Drosophila melanogaster: one gene and its partners. The protein of the gene in region 2 purifies or fractionates together with the protein of the main gene of each other region. This does not show direct contact. Each region holds a gene or a part of one and is shown on either strand. Other genes may lie near its edges.

Evidence for each region.
Region 1: the proteins of cos (region 2) and Sxl purify together in Drosophila melanogaster (affinity purification with western blotting; 2 studies listed by BioGRID). This does not show direct contact.
Region 3: the proteins of cos (region 2) and Su(fu) purify together in Drosophila melanogaster (affinity purification with western blotting; 3 studies listed by BioGRID, with this or other methods). This does not show direct contact.
Region 4: the proteins of cos (region 2) and Pka-C1 purify together in Drosophila melanogaster (affinity purification with western blotting; 2 studies listed by BioGRID). This does not show direct contact.

Annotation. Positions count from the first base shown.
Region 1 is NC_004354.4:7,093,274-7,100,600, forward strand, and holds the start of Sxl (Sex lethal), read right to left. Parts: upstream 4,781-7,327; 5' UTR 4,728-4,780; exon of another isoform or gene 4,672-4,727; intron 4,496-4,671; exon of another isoform or gene 4,351-4,495; intron 3,794-4,350; exon of another isoform or gene 3,725-3,793; intron 3,663-3,724; exon of another isoform or gene 3,542-3,662; intron 1,212-3,541; exon of another isoform or gene 498-1,211; intron 1-497. Other genes in the region: CG4615 (uncharacterized protein), read right to left, coding at 6,101-6,382, 6,454-6,673, 6,736-6,926, 7,001-7,249. UniProt on the Drosophila melanogaster protein: Sex determination switch protein, which controls sexual development and dosage compensation in females. Sxl protein is only active in females: it is inactive in males throughout development.
Region 2 is NT_033778.4:7,380,122-7,389,802, forward strand, and holds cos (costa), read right to left. Parts: upstream 6,995-9,681; 5' UTR 6,859-6,994; coding exon 6,207-6,858; intron 6,149-6,206; coding exon 5,437-6,148; intron 5,381-5,436; coding exon 4,962-5,380; intron 4,899-4,961; coding exon 3,076-4,898; 3' UTR 2,055-3,075; downstream 1-2,054. Other genes in the region: Dhx15 (DEAH-box helicase 15), read left to right, coding at 7,407-7,459, 7,514-8,307, 8,587-9,060, 9,126-9,389. UniProt on the Drosophila melanogaster protein: Regulates cubitus interruptus (ci) processing by recruiting multiple kinases to promote its efficient phosphorylation.
Region 3 is NT_033777.3:12,687,994-12,694,481, forward strand, and holds Su(fu) (suppressor of fused), read right to left. Parts: upstream 3,476-6,488; 5' UTR 3,446-3,475; coding exon 2,039-3,445; 3' UTR 1,880-2,038; downstream 1-1,879. Other genes in the region: kar (karmoisin), read right to left, coding at 1-95; Arp1 (Actin-related protein 1), read left to right, coding at 3,829-3,876, 4,650-4,714, 4,777-4,951, 5,011-5,162, 5,222-5,768, 5,837-5,980; CG31347 (uncharacterized protein), read right to left, coding at 4,126-4,557; CG14391 (uncharacterized protein), read right to left, coding at 6,347-6,488.
Region 4 is NT_033779.5:9,693,401-9,702,246, forward strand, and holds the start of Pka-C1 (protein kinase, cAMP-dependent, catalytic subunit 1), read right to left. Parts: upstream 5,898-8,846; 5' UTR 5,715-5,897; exon of another isoform or gene 5,302-5,714; intron 5,032-5,301; 5' UTR 4,167-5,031; coding exon 3,105-4,166; 3' UTR 2,791-3,104; intron 1-2,790. Other genes in the region: hoip (hoi-polloi), read left to right, coding at 6,535-6,537, 6,600-6,980; pelo (pelota), read left to right, coding at 7,653-7,693, 7,753-8,474, 8,530-8,722. UniProt on the Drosophila melanogaster protein: Serine/threonine-protein kinase involved in memory formation. Promotes long-term memory by phosphorylating meng and by regulating CrebB protein stability and activity.

The DNA of each region.
Region 1 (7,327 bases), on a different chromosome or scaffold from region 2:
GTGAACATCTTTTAGTTGTTAGGTAATAAGATTCTTAGAACGTATCAAACTACGACTCCAATAACTCCATGAGGGCATAACAATTAAAATTGGTTATTAAGATTCAATCTGAACTTGGGCAATTAAAACGTTATCCGTTTCTGAAGCAATACCAGCACAATACTATTTCCATATCTAATCTATTACTGTTAAATGTCTATTGCATTTGTATTACACTAATATAACACTAATTAAAATTTTAGGTGTTTTTGTACTCAAATTAAAAGTCTAATCAAGTAAGAGCAATTGATATTATCAAATATAAATCCTGAAAAGAGTCATATCGCTATTAACTCTAAATCCCCATTAACATAAACCCCGCCATAAATAACCCATTATAGATCCTATTTTCCTGCAGGCCAATTGCAGCTGCCTTTTTGCTAGGATTTCGGGTAGGGGCAGGTGAAAAAGCAGATTTACCTCCCCGCTTATAAAAACGCCGGGTGGAAAAAATCGAACTGCCCAAAATACAAAATACCAAGAACACAGATTGCAGGAAAATTCTTTGCCAATTTTTCAACAGAAACTTTAAGACAGTCAAGGTGTTTGGTTCACTCTAATCGCACGTTTGGTTCACTCTAATCGAACGCCAAGAACAGTAGTTCAATTCTCAAAAAAAAAGAATGCACAAAGTGATAATTTAGTATTGGTGTTAGTGTAAGATTGGTTTTAATTTTTTTAGTGTATATTTTATTATCATTATCGTTAATTGCAAATTAATTTGACCATTGTACGAGATAAGTATATTATTCTTGTAGGAAGAATGTTTATGAATTAACTTCCAATCTTATCAAGTACCATTTCCAGTGAGCCCTAAGCCCTAGCCATTATTTTTCCACAAGCAGGAAGCAAATCCATTGGATACTCGATACATGAGTATTTGTCCTACACTTTGGGATCCCCCAGCCAAAAATAAGAGCAAGAGCTGGGCTTCCTTCCAAGGAAGCGAATGAGGAACCAAAACTTTTGGCAAACAGAGAACAATCAAAATGGAAAATACGAAGCTGCGAAAAGAGATGCGAGCAGCGGAGAAGGGGGAAGAAGAGGAGCCAGAGAAAACGAGGGCAGCCAAACGAAGGCGCAAAGGGGGGCGGCGGCCAAGTGGGTGGGGCGGCCTAAATCGCATTGGGTCGCTCAGAAACACAAAAACCAGAATAAAAGCCGGCTGGAATGGGGTGGTACGGTCATCAAATTCGAGGGCTGCTCTTTTCCCATGTACACAATATACAGCAAATGCCGAAAAAAAAGAAAGAAGCCCAGGGGAAGGAAAATGAAAATATGTACAGAAATATATAAAACAGAGTGTGTACCTCGCTTTCCAGCGTGAAAACGGAAAATGCGGAAATAGAGAAACGAAAAGCGTCACAAGCTGTGAATACGGAAAAAGCAAAAAGGTGGGGGGAAAATACAAAAGGGTAACCAGAAGGTCGGTCATTCCGAAAATGGGAGAGCCCAGAAATGAAAGAAAATTCAAACATAAGTAATAGAGTACCAAAGACCCATAGACTTTCCATATGCAGATGGGTGAAAGCTAAATCACCATGAAATCAAAAACCAAAATAAAAGAAAGTCCATCACGGACAAAACTTTTGGGGAAAATGCATATCACAATGCGTGGTAATAATATATCCAATGTATCATATTAAAAAATTGAAAACAAATAGTTCAAAATTATTTCTAAATATTACGATAAAATGTTAATATATATGACTTTTTTAGCTGTTTAATAATTCAAAGCAGCAAATAATATTGCAATGATACACAACAGAAAAAAATATTACATAACAATAATAAAAAAAAAACAATGCAGGCTTTCATTGATTTCATTGACACCATTTAGCAGACATTTTTCGGCAGTGTACGAGGGAAAGAGATGGAGAAAGCGCCAGCGAATTGTAAAGCAATAACAAAATGCGAGAAAAACTTTACAGTTTGATAACAGTAGTCTGCTAATTTGGAGCACAGTTGTGTAAATAGAGCAGCACTATTATGCAGTGCTTGAGTGAATGTGTGTTCTAAACAGCTGATAAAAGCCCATTTAAGTACATGAGCTAATGTATACATATATACATATAGAAGATGCATGTACACATCTGTGCATCTAACAATCGCTCAGCTGGGAAAATGAGTCATGTACCCGCATGCATGAATGGATCTCGGTCTGGAAACAAAATCACAGCGGCATTGCCAGACACAATCAACGATCCATCGAACATTCCAGCTGATCGTCCGCTTGGATTGTTATTATACTGTTGTTATTTCAAGTGTATCCAAATGCGCATGTATGTACATATGTATGCATGTATGCTTTTTAAAACATTGAGCGAGCTTAAAAAGTACAGTGAACACTTGACATTGCGGAACCGAAACATATATACTTTCAAGGACGTATTCAACTTCATTTAACTCAGTATTATCTGCCATAAAAACATCGAAATAAGAACATTCAACGCTACAAAATATACTCTTAAATAACGACGCTAAGTAGTTGCATTATCTAGAGACCACTGTTGGGAAGCTTTTATTAACTGAAGACCAAATAAGGTTTAAAACGGGGTGCAACGCTCATGGGAATTGTGTAACGTGCAATTTGCGCAAGGGAATGACCTCAATGGAATGCAGAAATGTGAATTAAGAGTGTTGGTGGAGGTGGGGGTAGTACTAGCTACCGCCATTTCCAATATTTCCAATACGCTTTAAGCGAAGGGAACGATCGTTGCGATGCGACGTCATTGCCAACAGCAAGAAGGGGAATGACCCACCGAGAAGCGGAGATGAAGAGAAAAGGAAATAAATGCAGCTGCCCTCTCCTCACCACTCCACTCCTCTCCCACCAGCCAGCTGCAACTTGAAAAACAAAAAATACGGCAGCTGAGCGTACGATAGAGACAACAACGGAGGGCGAAGCGAACATCTTCCCTTGCGCTCACTACCTGCCTGGAAATATCCAGGATCCCTGATCTTCAATGGAAAAGGGAGGGCCATAAACCGAAAGGCGCGTGTCGCTAATGAGGATCTTTAAAATAATGTTTCGCCAACTAAAGCTATATAAACACTCAACGAAGAAATTACAATTATTTTAATTGCAGAAGCTCTGGGAAACTCCAAAATATGTCATATCTTAACCAGGGACACATGTGTAAGTGAAGTGTACGCCAAAACACGTTGCCTTCGATGATAACAGCTGGCAATGCCGTCGACGTAGGGCGGTCGCCACAGTCGACCACCAAAAAATAGGTACATATCTACTTATTAAAAGCAATCACAAAATACTCCAATTTATGCGCAGCAAGAAACACATGGTGGCATAGTTGGTGAAACAGGAAGTAATATGTATACAGGATATGCGTAAATGTAGGTAGTCGATTTGCAGCGGAACTAAAGGAAGTGAAAAAGGGACACGCGATAAACACTCAGGTAAAGCGAAATCTATTCCAGAATTTTCGGCCCTTCACAACTGGACGCGACTGTATGCATGTGTGTTGTTGTCTTTTTCGCCTACCTTTCGTTATATGTTCTTACTGCCCTTGGGTTTCTCTTGTTGTTTCTTTGCCCCAAAAAGCTGTTTGTATACGAACAAAACCACTTACCCAGCGGCTTAGTTATTATTATTTAGTTAGAGACTAAAATGGAAAAAAAGAATTAAGCACTCACACACACGCTGCTGTTTTTATGTACAACTTACTGTTTATGTGTATGTGCATATGATTTTTGGGCGATGCTTGCATGTTGCTATGTACTACACAACTGTAACGGAAACGAAAAAAAAAAGAAAAAACAAAGTGTAAGCCAGGCGCGTGAATCGCCTTGCAAGTGTGTGCGCGTGTGTTTATGCGTTTGCGGGCATATACACACTCGCACGCTCTCTCACGTAGGCGCAACACACACATATGTATATACATGCGAATGACGAAGCCGCAAGCACAGAAAAAAAAATTAGTACATGAAGTAACAACGAGTGGACGGGAGAGAGAGAGAGAAGGAGTGGGAGAGCGAGCAAAAACGGCTTTGCTTTTGCTTTGCTGTTGTTGGTAGTGGTGGGAAATGCTGAATGGAATTTTACAACATGTTTTCGGCTCGTCAATCGCTTTTGCACTCTTCTTTCAGCTCAATAACTTCACAAAAAACCGTATACAGCAAAAAATAAGAAACAAAAAACAGCGAGTATCTGTATACTGCTCTTTACTCGCTCTATTCAGATGTACATATGTATGTATTTGAGGCCAACAGCAAAAAAAATAACATGTATAACTTGAAAAAAGAAAAGAAAAACTCCAAAAATGCTTGGTTTTTTTGTAATTGTACTACTACAATTGCGATATGATCTATGCGCATTTTCACAATGTCTGCGTGTTTTCCACTATCGTTTCCTCTCCACTTTTCTCTTTTTGCGTGTTCTTTTAATTTCGCTTCGTTATATACACTTCACGTCACGCTAGAAACCCTGTGCATGTATGTATATATATATATCTATATGCATATATATGTACATGCTGCAGTGTCTGTGTGTGTATTGTTTTTTCGATGGGGATTTATTTCTTCTCACACACTTATTCTGTAGCTACACGGATTGCATGGGGCACACAAAACAGCTTCTTTGTCATGATTTTTAAAACGTTTTAACTTATTCACTTGGATCGTGTGTTTGATTTACGTGGCGAGTGTCAGGAGGAGCAAAGAAAAATTACCAGAAAAAAATTCACTGCGCGACTTTCCTTCTTCGGCAACAACAAAGCAGTGTGCACGTTTCGCGGTTGTCGGTCAATTTAAGCTATTTGGGTGGCTTTACGGTGGCTAAACGCGTTTTCGTTATTTTTCTAGGCACTCGGCTGGTCACACTGTTCATTTTCTACACCGCGTTAGTTAAGACTCACTCCATTTAGCGAATACACGAACCCATTTAGCCAAGTTTCACACCTTCGCTTGATTCGTAACGGTCACATAAAATTCAAATATGGGAATTCAAATCAAGCTTGAAATTTTCATTTAAAGAAAAGAAAATAACGAATTAAAATTAGATACAATTTTATGTCTTTTGAGCCCCGTTAGATTTCGTTCATTTAAATATTTAGAATTCTACACAAACAAAAAAAAATTTTCAATAAAATAATATATATATATTTGCAACCAAAAAAAGAATATATGTATATTCATATATTTAAAGCTAAACAAGATGTATGAATAAGCTAAACAAGATACATGCATAACATTGTAAAACGAACAATTATATTTGAGCACGCAACAAACATCTGAGCCCTTTGCTTTCATTTGGAAATATACAATTTATTAGAGCCATTAAAACTAATCGATCTGCACCATAAATACGAGTAGTACACGAAAGCTATATCCGCCGATCGCGAGCCAGGCCCCGAAAATATCAAGATATCAAGCGTATTTGTAAATAGTCACCTTCTTCAGTATCTGCGAACACATCGATTTGTCCCTGAGCTCGGCGATGAAACTGGCCGAAGGGGCTGGACTCGCGGATCGGATGGCCTCTTAATTCTATCTACTTGTGTATATGGGTATATATGGGTATATAATATATCTGTATAATCTGTATAAACATGCATAATGCAATGCGGGATAGGCGGGCTTCTAGTGTTCAAAAGGTTCAGGTCGTTAACTCTCGGATATTTGTACAAGTTTAATATTCGTGTCCTTTGCCTTTTGAGTACGGTTCAAAGTCTTTTGAGAAACACATGGCCAAAACGGGTCGTTATGGATACTAAATATATGAATATCGCTAATAATATCAAGTTAAAGTTGAGAGGGAGAGGGAGAGATGAGCACTCGCACAATTTGAATCTTTGGCAAGACCGCACATACTGATCACAAGAATCGTTTCGATTTAGTTAGTTCGTAATGCTACAACTAGACTACAAGCTAGGCGTCCTCGCTCGCTTAAAATTTGGCTAATTGTGGAGCAGAGACTCGGGTACATCGGGTATATCATAGGAATACGTTACACATGGCTGACAACATCGAATCCCTGTCGTTAAGTACTCTAAGTTCTAAATTCGCTGCATGTTACCACAACTGCTTTGTGGCGCTCGTTTGTTCACGGTGCTGCGGCTCCCTCGCTTGGATATAGATTCACCAGGATGGCGTAATAGTGACATCCGGCGGCCAGCACCACAAACAGATGCCAAATGGCATGGGCCATGGGTATCGTGCCGTCCGCCTTGAAGAATACAATGCCCAGAATGTAGAAGCCGCCGCCGAACTTGAGCTGCATCATACCGTGGAAGTGGTGGCCAGTGAACACAACGACTAGAGCGGGTCCCAGGCCCATCACCAGATAGAAGAACGTCTCCAGACACTTGTAGCGCTCGTGGAAGACCTGTTTTCGCCAAACAAAAGGAAATTTCACCTTAAGGAGCATGTGAACACGGGTGCTGTAAATGAACCCACCTGCTGGTAGGCAATTCCTATGCCCGCCATCAGCCAGATGACCCATTCCATGCAGAAGAGTATGGCCGAATGATCGGTGTTCTCTAGCGTGAGCCAGGGGAAGTACGATCCGGCGATGAACACATAGATCATCGCCCTGTCGCAGCGATGGAGCACGTTCTTGAGCCCCTGATACGTCTGCCAGCCGAGACAGGGCCAGGCCTTGACATTCTTCGGTGGTCTAGTGGAGGTATACAAAAATGTACAAATCAAATGGTTAAATCAGCCTGTGTGCGCACTCACTTGTGCTCGGCGCAATAGCAGGAGCAGTGGAAGAAGGTGGACACCGTGAAGAGCATGCACAGGGCTCCGCCGTAGACCCAAGCAACCAGATACTGGCTGGCGCTGGAGGAGCGTTCAAACAGCTTGATGGCCGCAAAAACGGCGGGCAGTATCCAAATGCCGTGAGTAATCACATTGGCCACCTGCTCGATCTGTTTTTTTTTGGATAGAGTAAATGTGGTTTAGGCGTCAGGTGTACTGTACACATACAATGTATAGAACTCACCTCCGTTGGCTGGTAGGCACAGCCGGGCTTCGCCTTGGCATTCTTCCACTTGACATTGCGCAACTGCAGTTTGAGATTGGAATTCGACTTGATGATAGACTTCCAGAACTTGCTGAAGAGATTCTCGAGGAAGGCGTACTTATGCTGCAGATCCTGCATCAGACTGAGGTCTCCATTGCCGTTTCCATTCGCATTGCGATTCAGTGTACGGATTCCACTTTCGTGGCCGCTTCCTTCGCTGTTGCTCATCGTGGATAGACTGTGGATTAGATTGTGAATTGGTTGTCCGATTTGCCAAATTGATTGATTGCCACTCGATTAGACAGA
Region 2 (9,681 bases):
TTTATTGGTTGCCAAAACTCATTGAGCACTTCGCTCAACGAGTGGAGCACTTTCAGAAAAGCTTATTAACGATTTCAAAAAATGTCCAGGATCTATTCAGTACATTTAAAGGGAGACACCAGTAATTCATGTGGGTAAATAAATAATTAGTTATTGTAAAATAAGTATAATAATTTACATTAAGCGGAGTATCAATGTAAACAGAAATTAAAAAAAATTAAATCAATAGTGCCTAAAATACTATTCAATAATATTACTGCAAGTTCATAGGTGTATAGGTAATTCACTGACTATTTTATTGCTCTGAAAACAGGGAGTCACATGGAAAATTGGCACTGGTCCAACTGGTGGGGAAAACCGCCTAGCAACAGGATGGCGAGCCGACGAAAAACCAGAAAAAGAAGCAGGAAAATAAAAAGTATATCGCCAGCAGACGCAGAAGGAAGCGGAGGAGGAGGGTAGTGCAACACTTGCAAAATCAAATAGTGGAAACTTCAGACACACCAGCAAGGAAAGGACGAAGGCAGCTGCACGGGATTTCAGTGATTTTACAAGCAGGGGATGAAACAACACTAACATCAGGACTCACACACACACACACATGTGCGCTGAAAGGATCGCGACGTATGTGTGCCACATGGAAACTGCGAAGAATTTTAAGAGGTTCTTGAGAATGAAGCGTTTTGAGTAGGGAAAGCTGAAAACTACCTGACGGCGACAAAGGACCAAGGACCTGGCGGCAGGAGGCACAGGTTGCACACACACACACACACACTGACTGACACACACGAATGGACGCACAAGCGAATACAACGGTAATCACAGAGTTGCTTTTCTGCGGTTCCAAGGGCGCATGCGCCGAAAAAAAATCGCTGAAAATTCAGGGACTGCAATTATTTCCTCTAAAACTCGATTTATAAATAAAAAGTAGCATGAAATATATAGAAACTCCCCTACGTACTAAACAAGACATTCGGAAATTTAGTATGAAACTTGTTTGGGAGTCGTAGAACATGCATATTTCCTCCCTCATGGCAGTACATTTTCACACCCTTTTGCAAGTGTGTGTGATGTGATACGGTGCATAAAGTAACCGTTTTTGCATTCCCAAATTGAAAAAACTTAACGTCTGGCGAAAAATCATAAGGAAGACCAAAGACTATTATCATCTAACCGATAAAATATCAACCTACAGCATCCTGCAGTTGATTTCGCAGACTAGCGCTACTCGGTGGGCGTGGGCAGGACTCACGCACACTTCTGCACCCAACCTATACATACACGACGGGCACAAAGAAGTTGCCAGACAACGGTGAAAATTTCCCAACGGTACCGCCGACTTTTCTTACCGTTATTGTTACTGCGGCTGGCCAAATTGTTTTTTAAATGCGATTAATTGTTAACACTCACACACACACACTTGTGAGAGTGGTGGGCTATTTGCAGCAGGGTGCCACTAATCCACGGGGGTGGCGACTCCGCACAAAAGCACGGCACACACAAACACAGATACTTTGCTCTGCTCTTGACTATCTTTCAGATACTTTGCATACTATTATTCACTTTTTTGTAGGGTGGTGCACTAGCACCGCTGCAACCGGTTGGCGGATTGCTAATCGCGTACCGCTGCCGTATATCCGTCTATCCGTACCCGTATCCGTATCGGTGTCCCAAAACAAACGCTCACACGCACACACAAATACTCGCACGCTCTCGCGATTCGCCGACTAGCGCTGAAATCCGGTTCTCGATCGCTCGACGGTCCAAACAAGACTGAATCGGATGCTCAGATACTCGCCATCGGATTTAGATACAACGCTTAAACCGGCGCTCTCTCTCTCTCCCTCTCATCCTCTCTCTTTGCGCTTTCTGTGTGTGTGTGTGTCCGAAGGGGCGATTGTTTGGGAAATTTCTGGGACATTTCTCACCTGTTGCCTTGTGGACTGTGTTTGCTTGGATTTCAGCTGCAAATGTAGAACTTAATTATCTTTATAAGACGATAACTATTTTATTTTGAATATAAAACACTGATTAAACACTGATTGATTAGTTTAGTTTGTATATATTTATTTGCTTAACCAACAATATCCACACAAAGCCATGCCGAGCGATTTGGCGGAATATGTATGCTTACAAATGTGTTTATAATTTTTCACACGCTGATATTGAGGGAACATACATACATTAATATCAATTTAAGTTACTCGGAGTACAGTGCAAACTGCATCTATATCAATGGACAATAAAAAATACGTTGTACACAACCAAACAGTATTGAATTTTAATTTTAAGTTAATGCAAAATGAGTATTGGATTAGCGCAAATACTGCGATTTGAAGCATTTATAAGTTGTACAGAGTAAATGCTTTTGATAGAATATTAAAGGTTAACACTTGGGTATGGAGTACGTATGTTGTAATTGGTATCGAAGGTCAATTAAAATTCGAGGGAAGACACAATAGTGTTTACAACTAAGCTAAAACTAACAAAATCAATTAAAATTAAGTGGTTACCTAATAATTATTGTTATGTACAAGTTAAACAATGCGGAGACTTAGGTCAACACTTTGAGCGAGTTTTGTGTACGGTTTGTCTTGCGAGTATCTTAAGTAGCAGGTCAAGTCTTTACGGTTGAATCTCATGAGGATAGTTACTTTCATATGCTAGGTGTATGTACGTGTGGGGGTTTCTAAAATAAATGCTCCCCAGCTAAAGAGCCGGAATGAGAACCATGTGTTGTAGTCTATTTGTGTCATGACTGTGGACGAAACTTGTTCAGTTCTTGTTACCAGGATCTGAGCTATTGCTTCACACTTAAAAAGATATCGAACTCCAGCCACTTTAATAAGTTAAACGACAAGCAGTAAACTAATAAATTCAAGCTGGTATATATGTCGGACTATTGATTAAAATGTATGCATGTATATGGGAGTAATCTGTTATACATTTTTAAGCATTTTTTTATATTATCGCCTTAATTATTAAAGTGGCTGGATTTCAGCTCATGGCTATTAATTGTATATGGCTATTTGGCTTAACCTTATAATATCGTCCTGGAAATGGTTAAATTCGTATTTAGTTTCGACGACTTGCGTCCTGGATAATTATCTTGTTCTTCTGACGCGTCACTTTCGTGGCCGTCGGAGCTGGCATCAGACGCTTCAGCTGCTCCGGCCTGAAGCTGACCAGGGCCTTGTCCTTCACTTTTCCTACGGCTCCAGTGGTGGTTGTCGACGTAGTGGTTGCCGTGGCCGTGGTGGTTGACTCAATCAGGGCCGTGGATTCCTCGGCCGTGGACCCTGAGGAACCGGCTGCGGCAGCTGACGCATATCTGGTGAGCACATGGAACTTGGCAAAGATGTTGCGTCCGCTGCGTTGCTCTTTGTCCTTGTATTTGTCTAGCGCCGAGCCGGTGGGCATCGGCTTTGGCGCTTTGATCAGTGCCTTGCTTGGATTGCCGCCACCTTTGTAGAAATGATCGTAGTCGAAATCACTACTGGCCTGCACCGGCGGGGCGACACAGGCAGGGGCCAAAGCTCGTTCTCCGTAGCTGGCCGAACTGGCCGACGTTTCCTCCGCCATGTGACGCAGCATCAAAGTGAGTTTCATTTCGTGCTGGCGCTGCAGCAGCACCGCATTCCGTTCGCCTTCCAGTCTAGCCTGGCGCACGGCATTGGACAGAACACGCTCCTTCCACTCCCAGGCATCCCGCTCACGCTCCAACTGCACCAGCTGCAGCTCCAGCTTTCGTGAAGAGTCGCGCAAATCGATAACCTTCGTGAAGTATTTGTACAGAAGTGTTCGCATCTCCTCCGTTGAGAGACGATTTAGGCGTGCCATCAGCATCTGTTCTCCCTTCTCCCGCTGAATTCGGTCGCTCGTGTCGATGGAGCGGTGGCCCGTGATCATCTCGTTCTTGAATTCTATGGCCGCATCTATGGCCTCGATGGCCTCATCGCACTCGAGCAGCTTGCGCTCCTCCTTTTGCGTCAGCACCTTGTCCCGCTTAAGTTTGCGGTCCAAATGACAGCGTTCTTCCAACAACAAGTCACGAGTTCCGCGCAAGTTGCGGATCTCATGACGCAAGGTCTCCTGCTGTTCTGGTCCCGGCTGCTCCTCCAGGTTATCCGACTTCTCGCGTAAAATGTGATTAAGGTGCGTAATCCTAGCCTGTACTGCCTTTAACTGGCGGCCTTGTTGCTCGGGAGAACCTTGCGCCTTCACTAGCTCTTTGCCAGTCTCCCTGGATTCTCGTAGTTTGGCCAGCTCCGCCTCCATCTGGCAGCGCAGCTTGCACTCCTTTCGAAGCTTTTTCTGTAAATCATCGGCCTGTTTTCGCGACTCGCCCACCGATTGCTGTAGCTTCTTCACCTTCTGTCCGCTCTCACCCGCAATATGCTTCATTGAGCTGAGGTCTTCTAGTCGACGCTCGAGATGTCCGATTATCGTGGTCCATCGCTCAATCTCCGACTGATCCCGGCCTTGAACTAGCGCCTTACCTAACTGCTTCTTGGCCTTGTCGCACTCGGCCTCAAGTTTGGCACGTTTCTTGTGAAATCTTTGCTTTGCATGGCTGCGTGTATCGCTGTTCTTGACCAATTCGGCGATTATATTTTGTTTTACCTGGATTGTCTCTTCGATTTCCCGTAACTGTCGTTGCTTGCCCTCGATCTCAGCGACCAGTTTGCGCAATTTTTTCTGCAGCTGTTCAATAGGAGCAGTGGCGGCGGCGGCAGCGAGAGCCGCCTGACGGATTCCTTCGCCCGAAGAACTTTCCAGAGGATCGACGACCGACTCAGGATCGATGGGCGGAGGCGGCTGCTGGGAAGCTACCCGATTAAGCATGGCAAGCTCAGCAGTACTTAAGCTAGCACCTGGCTGAACACTTCTCCTGCGACCTATTAAAGCAAGGAATCAACATGTTACTGTATAAAAAAATGTTATTCAAGGCAAAGACTTACTGCCAATGCTGACTTTTCGATCATCACCATTTTCTTCTGGCGGCTGTGCCTCAATCTCGCGGTCTTGGCTTTGCATAACCGCCTTCGGATGCTTGGATAGATATTCAGCGTGTTTTTCAAGTATAAGAGCGTCTGTTTTGTCGCGAAACTCTTCCATTAGACTTTCTATCTTGTCGTCCAGATCGGGCCGATGCGACTCATTGTCTGTGTCGTTTTCGTTGTCGGAGTTTGGCGACTCCGAATTGGCTGCTTCAGAATTCACGTCCTCGGGCTCCTCGGCCTCCAGAATGGGAACCAACTGTTTTTGCTGACGCATAGCCTCTGTTGAGCTGAGACACTCCTCGCACTCCTGCTTGAGGAAGAGCCACTCCTCGATCTGCTCCTTCTCCACTTCAGTAATTAGCTTGGAGTCTATCAGCCTATAAATTTCTTTTGTCGTCAAAAGGCCCACATCGGAAATAATGTGTACACTTACTTGGAAAATAGCCCCTCGGCGTTGGTAACTAGTTTGGACCATTGGCTTGCTGCGAATTGTAGGCCAAAGTTGTCCCCTGGTCCCGCCTGCGACAAGGGTCCAGCAGAGGAATTGGATTCGGGAACAGGCTCAGCCGGCTGAACGATCATCGTGTTGTCGTCGGAGTAGGTGTTCATAATTACAAAATTACGTACGCACTGCACCTTAAAGGCGAACTGCAGGTTGCCAAGAGTTTCGGGCAAGTGCTCTTCCAGCGGTGACACGCACAGGATCACGAGCGTCTGAGCCCGTCCGCCGAACGAGTCCTTCAGGAGAGTGGTGAGCGTGGTCTGACCGTACGGAATGTTGCCATTAACCCCGTACATGAGGCCTGGATCTGTGAGAGTACTGATCACCTGCTCCAGCATACACAGGCCAGCATCGAGAGGACGTCCCGGTGGCTGGTCTCCACATCTCTCTGTGCCGCAGAGATCCGAGAAACTGGCCGTGGACAAGCGGTGCTGCAACAGCCCCTCCTTGGACACCCACTGCTGCTCCAGGGTAAGCGTGAACAGGGTGTGCGCCGGCAACGATTGGCGGGCCGACAGACCCACCTGCAACCAGTGGAAGACGGCATCTACGTTGGTGCAGTGTATGTTTCCCATGCCCAACAAGTCGCAGACATCACCTCCGCAAATTTCCACGAATCCCACGTTGATGGCATAGGTGCGTTCTTAAAGTGAAAATGGAAATGGATAACTATGCTTATAAGATCCTTTTAGTAAACTCACCTGGGTGCAACGATATGTGTGAGAAAATGTCACGGACACAAAGTTGGACGACTCCTTCGGTGGAATCCGTCAGAGTAGGGTCCTGGACGTTTCCGTAGAGTGTGTAGCTTTTGCCCTGGCCCCTCTGGCCATAGGTGACTACAGATGCGTCGAAACCTTCCAGGAACAGGGTGATGAGCGGAAAGACCGTCTGGTGGTACACTTGCTCCTGGGAGCTGCTGCTGGGCAGGGCGTGGGTGACCGGAACCGTGTGGGGACCGACTTGTATCAGTCCAGCTGCAATGCTGTCCATGGGATCTCCGCCTGGCAGGGCACTGGGCAATCCCAGGGCCGAAGCGCTGATGGGAATAGCCTGAACGCAATATGCGGAGTCTGGGTAATCCTTCTGACCACTGTCGTTGCCATTGGCATCTGGAATTGTCTTCGAATCGGCCGCACTGTCCTGCTCAGCATTCCCGTTTGGGTCCGTCTCTGAAATTGACGGATTGTCCTTCTCAGCCGCCGGAACTTGAGCCTCGGAGTCCTTGGAGTCCGCCCCCTCATCCACCGCCTGCGCATCCTTTTTGGGCTCTGTGGGGCCGAAGCTCCTCAACAAGTCCTTGAGCTCTCTATGCGGGAAGATGCGCACCGCTACCTGAATGGGTATTTCCATGGTGGTTAGGCAACTAGTCCTGGTCTCGCAGGAGCTCTTTCATTCGATATCCTGCTCTTTGTTTCGCATCTTTGCGCTTTCAAATACGTGCAAAAATTCAACTCCCTCCGAATCGATACAATGTGATAGTGTGGCCGACGCTAAAGCGCCAACCCAAGCCGAAAATACCGAATCCATGTAACAGTTTGTTACTGTAAAAATCAAAATCAGTTTCCAATCAAATTGCTGTCAAATGTCAATTTTAAGACTGTGAGCTCACAACTATTCTTCAAACTGGTGAGTAAAACCGAATTCTATAGATAGATTCTCGTCAAAAGACTTAAGCTTGAACTGCTGTTTTTTTTTAAATGCCAAATTGCTGCCGTGCTGTTGGTTGTGATCTTCGCTAACCATGGGCTTATATAGTATACACAGACAGTAAACTTTGGTATTTTAAAAGTTGCGATCAGCATGGTCGGTATATGCTAAAGGTCTCACTGAGCGCGTGTTTTTTTTTGTGCTAAACGCTTCGTTTTGAGAATTAAGTGCAGTAATCACCATAAATTAGCATGTCCAAGCGTCGAATCGAAGTGGGGGAGACCTACGGCAGCAAGGCGAAGAAGTAAGTGACCCGAGGCCAACATACGGCAGTAATGTAACGCTCCTTTCTCACCAGGGACCCGGAGGCGTCCTCCTCGTCGGCGGCAGCCGCTGCCGGCACAGTGGCTCAAATCCTGGGCGGATTCGTGCCCAACAAGCAACCGCCCACGATGAACCCGCTGACCAACACGCCGTACTCACAACGGTACCAGAATCTCTACAAGAAGCGCATTGCGCTGCCCGTGTTCGAGTACCAGGCGGACTTTATGCGGCTGCTCAGCCTGCACCAGTGTATTGTGCTGGTGGGCGAGACTGGCTCCGGCAAGACGACCCAGATCCCGCAGTGGTGCGTGGACTTCGCAGTATCCAAGGGGCGCAAGGGAGTCTCCTGCACACAGCCACGTCGAGTTGCCGCCATGTCCGTGGCCCAGCGCGTTTCGGAGGAGATGGACGTAAAACTGGGCGAAGAGGTCGGCTACTCCATCCGTTTCGAGGACTGCTCCACGGCCAAGACGCTGCTCAAGTACATGACCGATGGTATGTTGTTGCGCGAGGCCATGTCTGATCCCATGCTGGACCAGTACCAGGTCATTCTGCTTGACGAGGCTCACGAGCGGACCTTGGCCACTGACATTCTAATGGGCGTGCTCAAGGAGGTCATTCGTCAGCGCAGCGACCTTAAGCTGGTGGTCATGTCCGCCACACTGGACGCCGGCAAGTTCCAGCAGTATTTCGACAACGCACCGCTCATGAAAGTGCCCGGTCGCACACATCCCGTGGAGATCTTCTACACGCCCGAACCAGAAAGAGATTACCTAGAGGCTGCTATTCGCACGGTAATCCAGATACACATGTGCGAGGAAATTGAGGGTAAGTTGGTAAATGAGTTTAGCTTGGAGTTCATTTAATAGCTTGCTAGTTCATTGTTCTAAGAAGCATTTATCGATCATATGTTTACAATGTAAAAGTGCCAGGCAAAATATAAACTTTCCGAGTGCCGAAGGGCGGCAAATGCTTCGTATTTGCTTTAATGGTATTGTAATCATTCAAGTGTTTACGACTTTTGAATATGATCCTATTCAATGCCGGAAAAGACGCATTCGCTTTTTCCATTGTAAACTAAACCCCAACTTGATTTTGCTACTCTAGGTGATATCCTAATGTTCCTCACGGGCCAGGAGGAGATTGAGGAGGCTTGCAAGCGCATCAAGCGCGAGATCGACAATTTGGGCTCAGAAATTGGAGAGCTGAAATGCATTCCCCTGTACTCGACGCTGCCGCCCAATTTGCAGCAGCGCATCTTCGAACCGGCCCCGCCGCCAAATGCTAATGGCGCAATTGGACGCAAGGTCGTGGTGTCCACCAACATTGCCGAAACCTCGCTGACCATTGACGGAGTGGTGTTCGTGATTGATCCAGGCTTCGCCAAGCAAAAGGTGTACAATCCTCGCATTCGAGTGGAGAGTCTGCTCGTCTCACCCATTTCAAAAGCGTCTGCGCAGCAGAGATCCGGTCGTGCTGGACGTACGCGTCCTGGCAAGTGTTTCCGTCTGTACACGGAAAAGGCGTTTAAAAACGAGATGCAGGACAACACCTACCCCGAAATTCTGCGCTCCAATTTGGGTAATGCCTAGATCCCCTGGAAGTATTACTCGATTTCTAATATCTTGTTTCTTATTTTTGAGCAGGCACTGTGGTTCTGCAGCTCAAGAAGTTGGGCATCGATGATCTGGTGCATTTCGATTTTATGGACCCCCCTGCTCCAGAGACCTTGATGCGTGCCCTGGAGTTGCTCAACTATCTGGCCGCCCTGGATGATGACGGAAATCTTACAGACCTGGGTGCCGTTATGTCCGAGTTTCCATTGGATCCGCAGCTGGCCAAAATGCTGATTGCCAGCTGCCAACATAACTGCTCTAATGAAATACTTTCCATAACGGCCATGTTGTCGGGTGAGATAAAACACAAATCTAAGAAACTGTCTTCGATAAGTTGGGGGTCGCACTTATACTTTCATGGCTGTCACTTTTCGTTTTTCAAATACGTAAATACGACTTGTACCTAATTTCGATTTGTGCCGATGCATACTTTCATTTATTTCCGTTAAAGTGGCTGCCGTGAATACTTTCTACGTTATAAATTGAAAGTCTGAGGTTTCGGGGAAGTATATTCTATATTCTTGAAGGGATTTATGTAATTTCTTAAGCAACAATGCAAAGGAAAAAGTTTTTCAATTTATTTGTT
Region 3 (6,488 bases), on a different chromosome or scaffold from region 2:
CCGTTGGTCGCGGATGCTGTATGTCCATTGGCGGCGGGCAGGATACGACCATTCACCTGGCTCTGCAGGTCGTTCAGCGGTTCATTCTCAGCCATGGCTGCTGGCTAGGATTGGATTCGGAGTGCTGCCTGCAAATTTATCATATAGTGTATGAGGTTTAAGTGCATTGAATCGGTTGGACGCACTCCGCGTATCAGTAAGCCACACTGCACCCAAATATGCCGAAATGATACCAGTGCCACTCGCATTTCCCCATCCCGGAAAATAATCGCCGACTGACGCGGAATTGGCTGGTCAAATATTTGGACACTTTTATCGCTATTTGCGCCCCCGACAAATGAAAATGCAGTTTACATTGTCGGCGAACCAGAGGCGAACTAAATGAGCAACAAAGGCTAGATCTTAAGGGAGAGTTACTAGGGAAGATCTCAGTTTCGACTGGAGATAAGCTGAGGGAATTGCTATAAAGGTATAAAGATATAAGGGATGCCTTTTACTTTTGAATATTTCAAATAACATAAATTGTATCTTTAAATAAGTTACCCTTCTGTTCTTTAGCATGTTAGTCACTTATTTAGCCAACGAAAAGTTTAAATTGGATTAAATTGCAAAGCTCAGTTAACGAGGAACCATAAAAAAAACTGGTTCAAATTAATATCCAAAGATATCATGGCCACATAACTTTCGATTCCGCCTCCAATTTCCCTGCTTAGTATCTGGTCAGCAACATTGTAATGCACTTTTAAAGCTGCGCAGAACACAGATTGCATTACAAGCGATAACTGAAATTCGTCGCATTTTTCGATTATGCATGCCCTTGTCGAGTGCACTTGAGGGGTTCGGGGCGCGGTAGCTCGAGGTGGGTCTACTGTCTATGGTTGACGGTTCATTGCAGCGTTCCGTTCTGCAAACGTTTCTTTTTCCCGCCGCGGGGCAGCCGAAAAAACCGCATCGCCGCCACAGCGAAAACTCAATGTAATGCGAACCGCTCGACGGAATTGTAGTAAAAATAAAGAAATACAACTAAAACCACTGTCGTTCTTGGCGGCTATCACCGAAGTTCGCGCTATCAACGCCATGCACGTGCTCGCTCGACACCCAGCTCAATCCCAAGGGGGGTCACTGCCTAAACCGAAGGTCATCCACCGGTCGATGGGTTGGCCCTTATGTAATCGCCGGCGTTTGGACGAACTTCAAGTCCGCTCCTCTACGTACTTGTAAGCCGGAACTCCAGTCGCTGCAGGCAGACGTGCGATTCACTTGAAGACTCTGGGAATCAGATGAAGCCGACTCGAGAATCGCGGGAATCAGTGGTCGGGTGGAGACCTCTCGAGCGAGCACACAACCGAACGCTTGCGTCGTCGGCGGCGGAATGAAGAAAACTGAATTATTTTCCACGAGCTGTTTTTGCGAAAAATCGCTCGCTCACTTGATGAGGGGCGCCTAATCGGAGAAGCAGAGCAACTGTTCTCTGCGGTAAACAAAAATTCACCTAGGCAACGCTCAGACAAGCGATGCGTCAAGGGTTTCCCATCAGCCAGGCTGATGATGCAGCTGCTCCAGGTCCAGTTCCTCGCGCAATCACATGATCCCGGGCGGGATTTTGTGTTCAAATTGAATGCTCTTCTAATTGATCAATTCCCAGAATTAGAAACTGAAGCATTCGGCGGTCCACTGCGCAATACCATCAATTGGTGGTTAGTCGGTGGCGATGACTTCCACCGCCTGCAAGTGGCCATATCCGCCGCAGCCACCAAAGCGAACTGTTCCAGTGCTCAATAGCCTGACCCCAACTTGACTCATCCGGCGAATTGTTCGCCGCTCCTGGCGCCGGCGCTTCCTCTTTTCATATTGCGATCAAAGGCCCGTCGAGTGGTTTCGGGTATATGTATGTGTTTGTATATTTTGACTGGACTCCGGCGAGGAGCAAAGGCCACGTGCATTGTGTTAGATGAGATGTATAAATGTAAAACTTACTCGTTAGTGGAAGATTCAATTCGATTAATTTAAATAACTACTAGCTAACCAATGGACACCATCACATTTTCAGAGGAGCAGCGTCGAGCGACATGGGCAGCACAGGTTCCGGCTGGTCGATGATCAGCTTCAGATTCTTGTCGGGCCACTCGAGCTCCAGTCGCTCCTTGGGCTCGCATTTCTCGTCTAGGCCCGCGCTGCGGAAGTCTTCCATCAGGCGCGGCACCAGTTCATCGGGAATCAGGACCTGAATCCAGTAGCCCAGCACGCCGTACGGTTCGTTCACTGTCACCGCCGAGCCGGTGACGGATTCCGCCACCAAAGTGAGCGCCAGATGCTGAGCCTTGAAGGTGAAGTGGCGCCCATGTCGGATGCGATCCTTGATGGCCAGTAGGAGGTACTTGGCCACACCAGGTGCGAGGGTAATCTCAATACCGTCCAGTGAAATGCAGTTTGGTGCCTGCGCTTGAAAGTCCAGGGGACAGGACTTGTGCAGCGAATTGCTGCTCATCGACATGGATTGTGGAAAGCTTGGTTCCTCGCGTTTCATTTGCGTATCCGTCAGCTGCCGATTGTTTTCGTCGTTGGCGCACTTCTCGCTCAGCGCCTGGAAATCCACCTCCTCCTTCACCTCCTTGGTAGGTTTCAGCTCACGGAACGTAAAATCTGCATTAACGCCGGCCAGATCGGAACCCTGCTTCTCCAGATCGTCCTGTAGGTTTAGCAGCGTTTCGGGAAACAGTTCGAAGACGCTCATCTGGCGATCCATGTTAGTCACCAGCCAATCACCGCCAGTTTGCATATCTTGGCGAAGGAAGTTGAGCACACCGCGCCCGTTCCAACGCGATGCCTGCTCAAGTTCGTCGTCAAAGACGCCGACGATCTGGCAGAAGTCCACCGTGCCCGTGGGAGTGTCGATGCAGCCCAACTGCGGGTCCTGGGCGACGAGCAGGTTCTGTAGCTTGGAAGTGGTACTGCCATCCAGACTCTTGCGCCACGGGATGTTGTCTCCGAAGCACAACCCGTTGCCTGTTTGAAAACAATAGCGTCCGATGGCCTGCAACAGGTTCGCCGGCCAGGTGGGCGGTCTTTGGGGCTTTTCCGGGTTCTCAATCTGCTGCTTTAGCTCTATTTCTGTTTTGGCCAAGCGAAAGGTCAACTCGAACCCCATGCCAGACCGAGTGACGCCCTCCTCGCGCAAGTGGACTCGCTCGTCCCCGTGTAGGTCGCTGAGTCCGAAACTAATGTAGTGCCAGTGCGGCGGAACGTTCCTATCCACATCTCCGGGATAGTTGTACATGCTAATGTAGTCCAACGGATCCTGACCGCCCAGCCAGTACTTGAGCAGTGTGGTCACCTGCAGCGGGTTCGGCTGGTTGGGGTACACCTGCCCGAGGTGGTCTATGATGGCCTTAAGGCCCGGCGGAGGCTTCACCTCAGGTTTTTTGTCCAAATTCGCCTCGGCCATTTCATCCAGTTTGATCAGTATGACCTCAGTTGGAACGTTGCGGAATACCACCGCTTGAATATACCATGAATAAAAATACTGCCATGTAAAGTGCGGATTTGACAATGGAAACTTACATGAGTTTCTTTTAAAACCATTATTTATTTTTAAAACCTTTTTTATAATAATTATTACTTTCTTACTTTTTTCTGCTTATTTTTAAAATGTAGAGAAAAACAGTGAAAATATATATCCATATAGCTTTAAACCACCACCATGTAAAATATTGAGTATTTCTTGCCGTGGTATATTTTTACATGCTGTTTATTTCTGCCAACCACCTACGGTCACCCTGTTGACCAACTATTTAATAGAAAATTTGCAAATTTTGATAAACGCACAAAATGGAGCCTTATGATGTCGTCGTCAACCAGCCCGTCGTCATAGATAACGTAAGTGGAGATGGGGCTCATTAAATGCGGGTAGCTTTGTGCAAATCTAGGGTTCCCAAAGTTTTAGCCAGCAAACAGTGACATCACCTACCGCCCGTCCCTTTGTCAACGAGCTTTCAAGCCGTCTTCAAATGGCCAACATGACTAATCCCAGAGAGAATAGCTCCGCAAACGCCAGAGATGGTTCAATTCGGAAGTGAAGACAGCGAAAACGGGGAATTTGGTCTATAAAGCTTGCGTGGAATCCCTTTATCTGCCCAGCACACGCACACACGGATATCTGCGGGCGGTGGCTGCATCCCTGCTGTTGCGTCCCTGCATCTGGAAGCCTCTGTCGAAGTCCATTTGGTGCCCGTACTCCATTGGGTAAACCACGGGAATAGACTCCACATGGGAGGCAGCGGGTCGCTTTAAGCGCTCCAGTTCGGGATCTATCTTCACACCACACTTGCCCCTGTATGTGCTGAACATCTTGGGGCGCAGCAGCTTGTTGTAGGGATCGCGGAATTGATCTCGGTACTTCTGGCACTCCAAATAGAAGGAGTCCACCTTGTACAAGCTGCCGTAGCTGATGTTGGTCAGTCCAACTGGCGGTGCGAACTTTAGTAGCGATTCCCGTTCGTATTGCGAATTCTTTGACACGGTCATCATGTCCACTTCCGGCACACTAAAGGATTCCATGTTGACTATATAGATTTCCTGTTTGCACGTTGAATTTTAAATAAAATAAGCTGACGCAACTAACTAAATGTATTCCACATCACTTTTGACAGGGCTCCGGTGTGATCAAAGCCGGCTTTGCTGGTGAGCACATTCCAAAATGCAGGTTTCCCAATTAGTAAGTGCCGTGGACCACTCACGAACCTTAAGAACCCCTAGAACTAATGCCTTCTCCTGCAGCATTGGCCGGCCCAAGCATGTCCGAGTGATGGCTGGTGCGCTGGAGGGCGACATATTCGTTGGACCCAAGGCGGAGGAGCACCGTGGCCTGCTTAGCATCCGGTACCCCATGGAGCACGGCATTGTCACCGACTGGAATGACATGGAGCGGATATGGAGCTACATTTACAGCAAAGTAATTTGTCCATAAATGTTCCATAATCTTAACTAAATGTTTTAAATGGCATTGACCAGGAACAACTGGCCACCTTCACGGAGGATCATCCCGTGCTGCTGACCGAGGCCCCGCTTAATCCGCGCCGAAACCGCGAAAAGGCAGCCGAGTTCTTCTTTGAAGGCATCAATGCACCTGCGCTCTTTGTGTCCATGCAGGCGGTGCTCAGTCTGTAAGCATTGCAATCTCACGAACTGCCCCTATCGATTTCATTTAACCACACTCTTGCAGCTACGCCACCGGTCGTGTGACTGGCGTAGTGCTCGACTCCGGCGACGGTGTGACGCATGCGGTTCCTATCTACGAGGGATTCGCCATGCCTCACAGTATTATGCGCGTGGACATCGCCGGGCGCGATGTGACGCGCTACCTGAAGACACTCATCCGCCGGGAGGGCTTTAACTTCCGGTCGACTGCCGAATTTGAGATTGTGCGCTCCATCAAGGAGAAGGTCTGCTATCTGGCCACCAATCCGCAGAAGGAGGAGACCGTGGAAACCGAGAAGTTTGCCTACAAGCTGCCCGACGGCAAGATCTTTGAGATTGGACCTGCACGCTTCAGGGCGCCGGAGGTGCTCTTCCGGCCCGATCTGCTGGGCGAGGAATGTGAGGGCATTCACGACGTTCTGATGTACTCCATCGAGAAGTCAGATATGGATCTCAGGAAAATGCTCTACCAGAACATCGTGCTGTCCGGCGGATCAACGCTCTTCAAAGGATTCGGCGACCGTCTGTTGTCCGAACTGAAGAAACACTCGGCTAAGGATCTCAAGATCAGGGTAATTATTTCTAACAATTGTATAGTTCTGTGCCATGAGTTCTGAAACTCACGAATTTATGTTAACAGATCGCTGCGCCGCAGGAACGTCTGTACTCCACATGGATGGGCGGATCGATTTTAGCCTCGCTCGATACTTTCAAGAAGATGTGGATCTCGAAGCGGGAATACGAGGAGGAGGGACAGAAAGCCGTGCACAGAAAGACTTTTTAGCCTGTTTATAAGCTTAAACGCCATTTGTAAAAGGCTAATTAAAATGTATATCAAATCCTTGTGTCAGCTAACATGAAGTACCCTATAAATTGAAAAGTAAAATGTGTATGTTTTACGCATCAAGGGCGCAAAGTATTTAAAATGCTATTTATTGAAACTGCTTTCCCAGCCTAGAAAATAAAGTACTAAAATTTATAATTCACTTGCGGATAATTCCTTCCCAGGTTAACTCTTAAACAATAAACCAAGAAATTTCAACAAGCTATTGTATATTTGGATGTACCTAACAGATAGTAATATCTTATTGCTCGAAAGATTTTTTACACTACCGCGGATACATTAGCTATCAAAAAAATTGTACTTTCTTCATCTGAGATAGCTAGTGACGCCAACTTGGGATGTTTGTGACCCCATGGGAATGCTACCACCCAAAAACATGCTCTTGTTCGGAATCAGGGGAAAAACTATGGGCTGCCGGTCCACAGTTGCGGCAATCGCCTGCGTCATC
Region 4 (8,846 bases), on a different chromosome or scaffold from region 2:
ACCATCGCCATCGCCATTTACTTGGCCGCAGTTGCAGCGCGTGCGTGCTGGCTAAAAAGCTCGATTTTGAGGGCACTGTTACAAGGCTGCCCGGCCTGGTCGTTATGTCTGAGATCTACCGCCCCCGTTCCGCCACGCCCCCGAGCGAACCTCCCCCTGTTAGCCCGAAATTGGCCAGACAACGTCTCAGATTCACAAGCGCGTTGGCAGTTGCATTCTGTGTTGTTTGGCTGACTGCTAAACTTGGCTTGGTCTAGGTGTTTATTGGAGCACAACGAATGCGTGTTGAATCCATGTTGCTTGATATCTGAGTGCTTGTGCCGCGACTTCTGAGAACAAGTTTGCTCAGCGACATCCAGCTGGGAGCTGAACTTTGGCTCTTAGCTTGCTCCAAATTAGAAGAGTGCCAGAAACGAGGGAAGTACTAACAGTACAATCAAGTTATTCAACTATGAGACTTTTAGCTTAGCTCTTTATTCACTTATATATCAAACAAATGTAAAATAAAGCGGAAATATATAATTATTAAAATTAAATGGTATAAAATTCACTGGAGCAGCAGAGCAGCATTAACTCGTTGCCAAAGAAAGAGTTTAATTGGCTTATCAGGGGAAATCGAATACTAGGGCGTGCCTCCCAATCACCCCACTCCCACCCAGCTGGTTTCTTCGCGTGATAACGCTTCCTCCACCGCCTTTGCATTGATAAGCAATCAGTAAAGCCGTCGAGTTAATGTAAATAAGTAAACCTAATGCCCGACACTTAGTACCCATGACTACGGGTCTAATTGACTTGGCCCAAAACCAAATGATTGATGGCCTTCTCAGGCAGCAAGCGACAGAAACAACCGAATGTTTATACATACATTTATACACATAATTGGTGCCAATAAAACTGTAGACAACACATGTCGCATGGAAATGCTTATATATGTACATCAGGGAATCGAAGGAGAAACCAAAAAAAAAAAAACCAATGTTCGGATGGACAACTCTTTTGGGGCTAGGCCAAAGGTCGAACAAGGTCACGGCCAACGATTACCGCATGAACATTGGCGTGAATATTTCGGATTTTTCCCCTTTGATCTGCAGTCAAGCTTTTCTCCCAGAATTAACAACTCTTGATTGCGTTTCTGTTTTTAGTTTTTCGCATTTCCCCACAATTTCTAAACTTTATGCGGCATTCGCACGCAGCTCTTGCTTTTGTTTTGCTCATGATGTTTGGACATAAAACTTATTATAATTTATTAATTACCAGCAGCGTTTGGCTTTGATAAAAGAAACACAATTTCGGTAATGGCCAACGGGCACGCAATCTAGCTGCTAGCTCTTTGTAGCTCCGCAAAGAAACGAGAAATAATTCATAAAATAAAAGATATACTTCTTTTACTGCCTTTTGCTTTGACATTATTCATGGCTTTCTCTCCCCTTTTTGTTGGCCTTTCAAATGGGTCAAGTGTGAATGACTATATTTCTGTGTGGAAATTGTGGGAGTCCCAGGAAATTAAAATGGAAAAGCATTTTGGTATTTAATTAAAGAAGATGTATCACAGAATGATTCGAAATATAAGTTAAATGGCTTTTTACTTTACTTCTGCTAAAGTGTAACTGAATACATTCCAGTTGAATTCAAATAATTATAGCTAGAAAGTTTCATGATTTACAACCCACCACCAACTTTTGTGTAAATTTACTTTAAGCACCGAGAATTCCTTTGAACGTAATTGGCTTGCATTGTTACTATCAGCTGTCTAGTTTGTCTGTTGTGGAGATTAGACCCGTCTGAACTATGCCCGGCTGCTACAGTTAACGTTTACGACCGCATTCTGACGCTTATTGCAATTAATGATTCGATGTTTACGGGTATAACTGCCCCGGGGGTCTGGCTGCAAATAAGTGAGTAAGTGGTCATGCTCGAATATCTTTTTGAGAAAACATCACGTAGGTTTTGGGTGCCGCAGGGTAACCATCCGCGTATCGCAATAAGCCAAGTCACCGACGGAAACTAATTAAAAGAATTCCGTGTACTGTCCCGGGCAGAACAATTGACGGACGAGCTGAAATGCCTTTTGTCTCATAATCAACTTTCTGGCACTCACTCACTTGCTCTCCCTAAAACAAGCAAAAACATTCCGCTGAAAGCAATCAATCAATCAAGCCACTCAAGTCCATCAATCTCCAGCTAAAGTCAAAACAAAAACAAACCTGCAATACCCTTGCCCTGAATACCCTTCGCTTTCGCCAGTGAATCGTTACCAAAGAAAGTAGGGAATACAGTCAATAGATTAATATCCCGTACAGCAAATATGGTGAGAAATAGAAATAGCCTTCTGTGTGCATTTGCAGATTGATATATGGCATAATAAATTAGGAACTCGCCTTTTCCCGTATATCTCTGTAAGTCAATAGTAATTCCTCTTCATAAACCATTCTAAAGGTAGGCAGTAGAACAATTATAATATGCACTTTCTAAATAAAATAAAGTATATAGTAATAGCCTAATGTTTATATTGTGGTTATTTACTAAAAATCTCAAGTCGTGTTATCAGTATGATTAGGCGTGAATAAGAATGTTGTTATTAGTAATAAATAAAGTGAATGAATTATGAAGTAAACAAATTTTGAAACCTAGACCTACGGTTCGGAATGTGAAATTGTATTTGTTTTTCTTTGCTGAGTAAACCAACTGAGTTTTCTAGGCTTGACTAAATTTCGCTGTTCAAAGGGTTCTAACTCACAATATATTTTTCAAAACCCTCAACATTTTTAAATTCAATTATTATATACTTACGCTGATGTAAATTGTTGTGTGTGGTGAGAAATCCAATGTTGGCAATAGTATGGATGTGGAGTATATACGGATAGATATTCAGACGAAGATGTGGCTGTAGTTTTTGTGTTGTGGGAGGGGCTGTTACAGTTGTTGTAGTTGTAAGTAGTAGACATATAGACAAGACGACGACAACGACGATGAGGACGTGGTCCGCGATGCCACGGCGGTGGCAACAGCAGGAGCAGTTGCAGATACAATCGCAGTAGCGGATACAATTGCAGTTGCAGGCGCCTGCAGAACGAGGGGATTGGGCTGACTGGCGAAGAGCTCCTCTAGAATTCAGCAAACTCCTTGGCACACTTCTCGGTGCTGGAGATCCGCAGCGCCTCCTCCTCGTAGTCATCGAAATTGCTCGTGTCGCCGGGACCCTTACACCGCGGAATGAACGGCGCCTCGATTTTCTTTTGGAAGATCGCAATCCAGTCGGTGGAGGCGAACCACTTCTGGTTCTTAATATCATTGACGCCCGCCTTCAGATTGCCGTAGCGCTTGGTCAGATCCACCTGCAGCAGGTTGCGCAGTAGGTCCTTCAGATCGGAGCCAAAGTGCGATGGGAAGCGCACCTTGCCGGAGACGATCTTCTCGTAGATCTGAATCGGCTGATCCGCAAAGAACGGCGGATAGCCGGCGGCCATTTCGTAGACGAGTACGCCCAACGCCCACCAGTCCACGGCCTTGTTATAGCCCTTGGACAGAATGATCTCCGGGGCCAGGTATTCGGGCGTGCCGCACAGTGTCCAGGTGCGTCCCTTGACCCGCTTGGCAAAACCGAAGTCCGTCACCTTGAGGTAGCCCTGCGAGTCAATCAGCAGATTCTCCGGCTTCAGATCACGGTAGATGAGGTCCAAGTAGTGCAGGTACTCGAAGGCCAGCACGATTTGCGCCGCGTAGAAGCGCGAGTGCGGCTCCGAGAAGCGGCCCACCTTGCGCAGGTGGGAGAACATCTCGCCACCGGGAACATACTCCAGCACCATGTAAAGGTTGGAGTTGTCCTTGAAGTGGTAGCGCAGCGAGACGAGGAAGGGGAACTGAATGGCCTGCAGGATTCGCTTCTCGTTCAGCGTGTGCTCCACCTGCTTCAGCTTGACCACCTTCTGCTTGTCGAGGATCTTCATGGCATAATAGTCTTTCGTGGGCTTGTGCTGGACGATCATGACACGGCCAAAGGAGCCGGTGCCCAGGGTCTTGATCCGTTCGAAGTCATCGAGGGCGGCGGTGTTGGTCGGATTGCGTCGCCACTTGTCCTCGAACTCCTCCTTGGCCTGCTCGAGGAACTCCTTCACCGTCTCGGCGGCATCGACCTTCTTATTCGACGTGGTGGCGTTGTTGCCCATCTTGGAGATGGTGCCCGTTAGCGATGACAAACGGAAGGTTGCGCTGGCCGACACTTGGGCCTGATCGTCGCCGGAGGTGCTAGGTCCTCCTCCCCCTCCTCCTGTTCCTCCGCTGGCTCCTCCTGAATCCGCCCCTGAACCGGGCGTGGTCGTGGCGGCAGGGGGCGTGCTCTTGTGGGCGGCGGCTGCTGACGAGGGGCCGCTGCTGCTGCTGCTAGCCTGGTCCGCTGGAGGTCCCGCTGCCGCTCCCGCTCCTCCCGCTGCCGCTCCGCCCTCCTCCTCGCAACTGGACTGCGCCTGTAGCTTGCCCTCGCCGGATGTGGAACTATGATGGGACTTTTTCTTTTTGAGGAACTGCAAAATGGACTTAGCTATTTTGCCGAGTTACGGGTCAACGGTGCGGATGAAATAGTTGCTCCTTATGGGCCAAAGAGAGCTTCTCACTGGAGCTCTCTCACTCTCTTATTCGCTGAATATCCTTTTAAATTGGTGTTTAGGTTGCGTTTTAAAGGCGCTTGGTTAAGACGCGTTTAAGTTATGGTTTTAGCACGTATTGGTTTCTTTAATTTGTGAGGTCTTAAACTAGTTATACACTTTAGGCTTAGACTAACATTTGGTTTCACACTTTAAGGTTGCTTATGATCGCGATTTACTCTAATTTGAGAAGCTGCAAAGAGAGACGGGAGAGAAAACGGCACAAATTAGCGGGATATTCGGTAAGGGGCTAAAAATAAGAGTCCAGTTTTCCGAGTTCTTTATGCACACATATAGATTATATTTTAAGTTTCTTATGTATTTTCGCTCTTTCGCATTTTTCACTTCATATTGTTTTTGTTCTCAGCGCTTTGCTGGCACTTTTATGGAGCTTAATAAAAAGCTGGTTATAATCACTGAATAAATAAGCTTAACAAAATCGCACACAAACTCGAAATTCAGAAAATAATAAAAAGAAGAGAACAGAGGAATGGCAAAGAGAGCGAGAGGAGGCGACTTTCGATCGTGTCAAGTGTCAAACAGCTGATGCCGTAGTGCCAGCTCACTCCCACTCACGCACTGTTACGCAGTGCTGCTTCCTTTTCCTCGCGCATTCCCTCTCATTTTCGCCTATTTTAATTATTAAATACTTTTTTGGCACCGTTTTGCTTTGGCTTCTGTTTTTTCATTTCCTTTGCTTTTGCTTCTTTGCGTTCACTGGTGTGCGTGTGTGTATGTGTGCGAGTTGATGTGCATATGTATGCGCTTCTGGTTTTACTTCTGCGATCTCTCTTCAGCGCTCTCTTCGCAGGCACTTTTCCACATTTCGCACACTTTAAATTAGTTAAATTGGCCTTTATTGCTCGGTGTGCTAAATTTTCGCCATTCGATTTGGGCATAAAAAAATCCCGTGGTTTAAACAAACACTATCGTACACGCATACACACTCAGCGCTCACCTAACACACACACACCAACATACACATACACAGATTGAATAATCGATTTTTTACATTCATTTCCTTTTTCTGAGTTTGTTTGACTTTGCTTTTCCATTTTCGCTGCGCGAAATTACCTTTTTGAAATTTACGACTACGATGCCAGCGATTTGTAAACACTTTCAGAAATATTGCCTCGACTTTCCGATCGATTTGATGCACTGTAGCTGTGGATTGATGGCTTAGATTAAAAATACCCGCATAGCCGCCGAACCGAGTTTTCCCGACCAAATCGTTCAAAGTTTTTTTTTCGACTGACGCGACTCGCGGATGCGCCCCAGCACGCAGGTGTGAGTAGGCCAGCGATAGGCAGCTCGCTCAGCGTGAACCGTGCGGCGCAATCATGAGTAATCCCTACTGCGCGGGTTCTATTCCGTCTGAAAATCTAAATGATCGGAAATAGCTAGCGGTTATCCAAAATTTTAATAAATAATTATAATAATATATAATTCGTAAGCTGTAAGGATTATTTTATTGTTATGTTTAAAGAGTTCTAAGCTGCATGAAAGATATAATTTTTAATAAAAATAGAGCACTTGTTTAATGAAACGTTGTATTATGAAGTAAGTTTAGATTCGATTTTACGAAATATTTTTAAATGGATTTCCTTTTTTATTTTATGAAATTCTATTTGGGAATTCCCTTAAATTATCAAAAGTATATTTAAGCTAGGGCTGCAGAGAACACAATTTCCGTTACGATTAGTATTGCCTAGATGGCAGTATGACCAGTCTTATTTGGTATTTCCGAACCACCTGCGAACGGTTTTCTAACGCTAACGCACGTGTTTGAAAGCGATTTCAATTGTTCTGCAATTGCCCTCAGTGAAGCAGCAAGCGGAGAGGTTGCATTTTAAAGCACTTTTTTCCAGTAAAAGTATACAATAAACAAGCCAATATGGTGAGTGCATCCACGTTAGCATCGAGAGATGTAAATTTCAACAAGTATCCCAATCTTTGCAGACTGAGGAAGTTAATCCCAAGGCATTCCCGCTGGCCGATGCCCAGCTTACCGCCAAGATCATGAACTTGCTGCAGCAAGCATTGAACTACAATCAACTGCGCAAGGGAGCCAACGAGGCCACCAAGACCCTCAATCGCGGACTGGCCGATATTGTGGTGCTGGCCGGTGATGCGGAGCCCATCGAGATTCTGCTCCATTTGCCGCTCCTGTGCGAGGACAAGAACGTGCCCTACGTCTTCGTTCGTTCCAAGCAGGCCTTGGGGCGTGCGTGCGGAGTTTCCCGGCCAATAGTCGCCTGCTCTGTGACCACCAACGAGGGCAGCCAGCTCAAGTCGCAGATCACCTCCATTCAGCAGGAGATCGAGCGACTGCTAGTCTAGTAACCCTTTAGATTTAAGTGAACATTCGTACAAAGTGGTAATTTCAAATTGAAATTTTGAATAAACATGTGTATTCTTTAATGCAATTGTTGTTTCCAACGCACATGGTTGGCTTGGAGTGCCCAATTTTTGGACACCGGATACCAATGCCGAAAAATACCAGAAAATACTAAACCAAAGGGGTCAGCTGGTATAGCCGGCAAAGTGCTGGCAAATAAATAAGCTAGTTTAATATAAGCTTATTTCATATAAATTATTGAACCAGACCAAAATGTACATGTGCATGTAGAATATTTATTTATAACTATAAGTTATTTATTCATAGAAATAGAAAAAAATCTGAATGGTAGCTTATGCAAACTACTTTAAGAAAGCCAATCCTGGCGGCAAAATAGCCAGTCGCACATCACCGTTCGCCCCTGGTGAATGTCACTTGGCCGCCGATTCTACTGACCACCACCATTGCCACACCATCCTGCCGATTCGATCAGCGGTGTGAACTTAGCAACTGCGTGAACCCAATGACAACGATGCACCGCCGCCTTTGTGAACGGAGGGAATTACTGGAATCTGGGTGCAAGTGACAAGCGGCTAGAGGAATCAAAGCACTCGGTATAAAGGCAGTGCCTGCCGACGAAACAAATACCAAATCCTGACCAGCAACGAGACGGGATGAAGCTGCTGGGCAAATACGTGGACAAGGGCATGCAGGGGTGAGTGAATATCCCCAGAGTCTTAAACTATTTTCGTTATGCCTCGAAAATTCTTTTAGAAATGTGACCCTGGTGCCGGAGGAGTCCGAGGATATGTGGCACGCCTACAATTTGATTGCGAAAGGCGACAGCGTGCGCAGCACCACTATTCGCAAGGTGCAGAATGAAACGGCTACTGGCTCCTCCACCAGCAGCCGGGTGCGCACCACACTAACCATCGCAGTGGAGAGCATAGATTTTGATACGCAGGCTTGTGTGCTCCGCCTTAAAGGCAGAAACATCGAGGAGAACCAGTATGTCAAGATGGGCGCCTATCACACCCTCGACCTGGAGCTGAATCGCAAGTTCGAGCTGCGTAAGCCGGAATGGGACACAATTGCCTTAGAGCGCATCGAAATGGCCTGCGATCCCACACAGTCTGCGGATGTAGCCGCCGTTGTGATGCAGGAGGGATTAGCACACGTCTGCCTGATCACCGCCAGTATGACCCTGGTGCGGAGCAAGATTGAGGTCTCCATACCGCGCAAGCGCAAGGGCAGTGTCCAGCAACACGAGAAGGGACTGGCCAAGTTCTACGAGCAGGTTATGCAGAGCATCCTGCGGCACGTCAACTTCGATGTGGTCAAGTGTGTGTTGATTGCGTCGCCGGGATTCGTGCGCGATCAGTTCTATGACTACATGTTCCAGCAGGCGGTCAAAATGGATTACAAGCTGCTGCTGGACAACAAGAGCAAGTTTATGCTGGTGCACGCATCCTCGGGATTTAAGCACTCCTTAAGAGGTGAGCCATTTACCCTTATGAAGAGATATGTTCTAAGTCAAATTCTTGCCTTCAGAAATTCTACAGGATCCCGCCGTGCTGGCCAAGATGTCTGACACCAAGGCAGCTGGCGAGGTCAAGGCCCTGGAACAATTCTACATGATGCTGCAATGTGAGCCCGCCAAGGCCTTCTATGGAAAGAAACATGTCCTCCAAGCCGCCGAGTCGCAGGCCATCGAAACGCTGCTGATCTCGGACAACCTCTTTAGGTGAGTTACACTTGGTTGAGCCAACGTATATATCTATGTATATTGAAGTAATTACTAGCTGGGCACACATTAAGCCCAATCAAGCGGGAGATCAAGAGCACGATCGCGAGTATAACTAGAAACC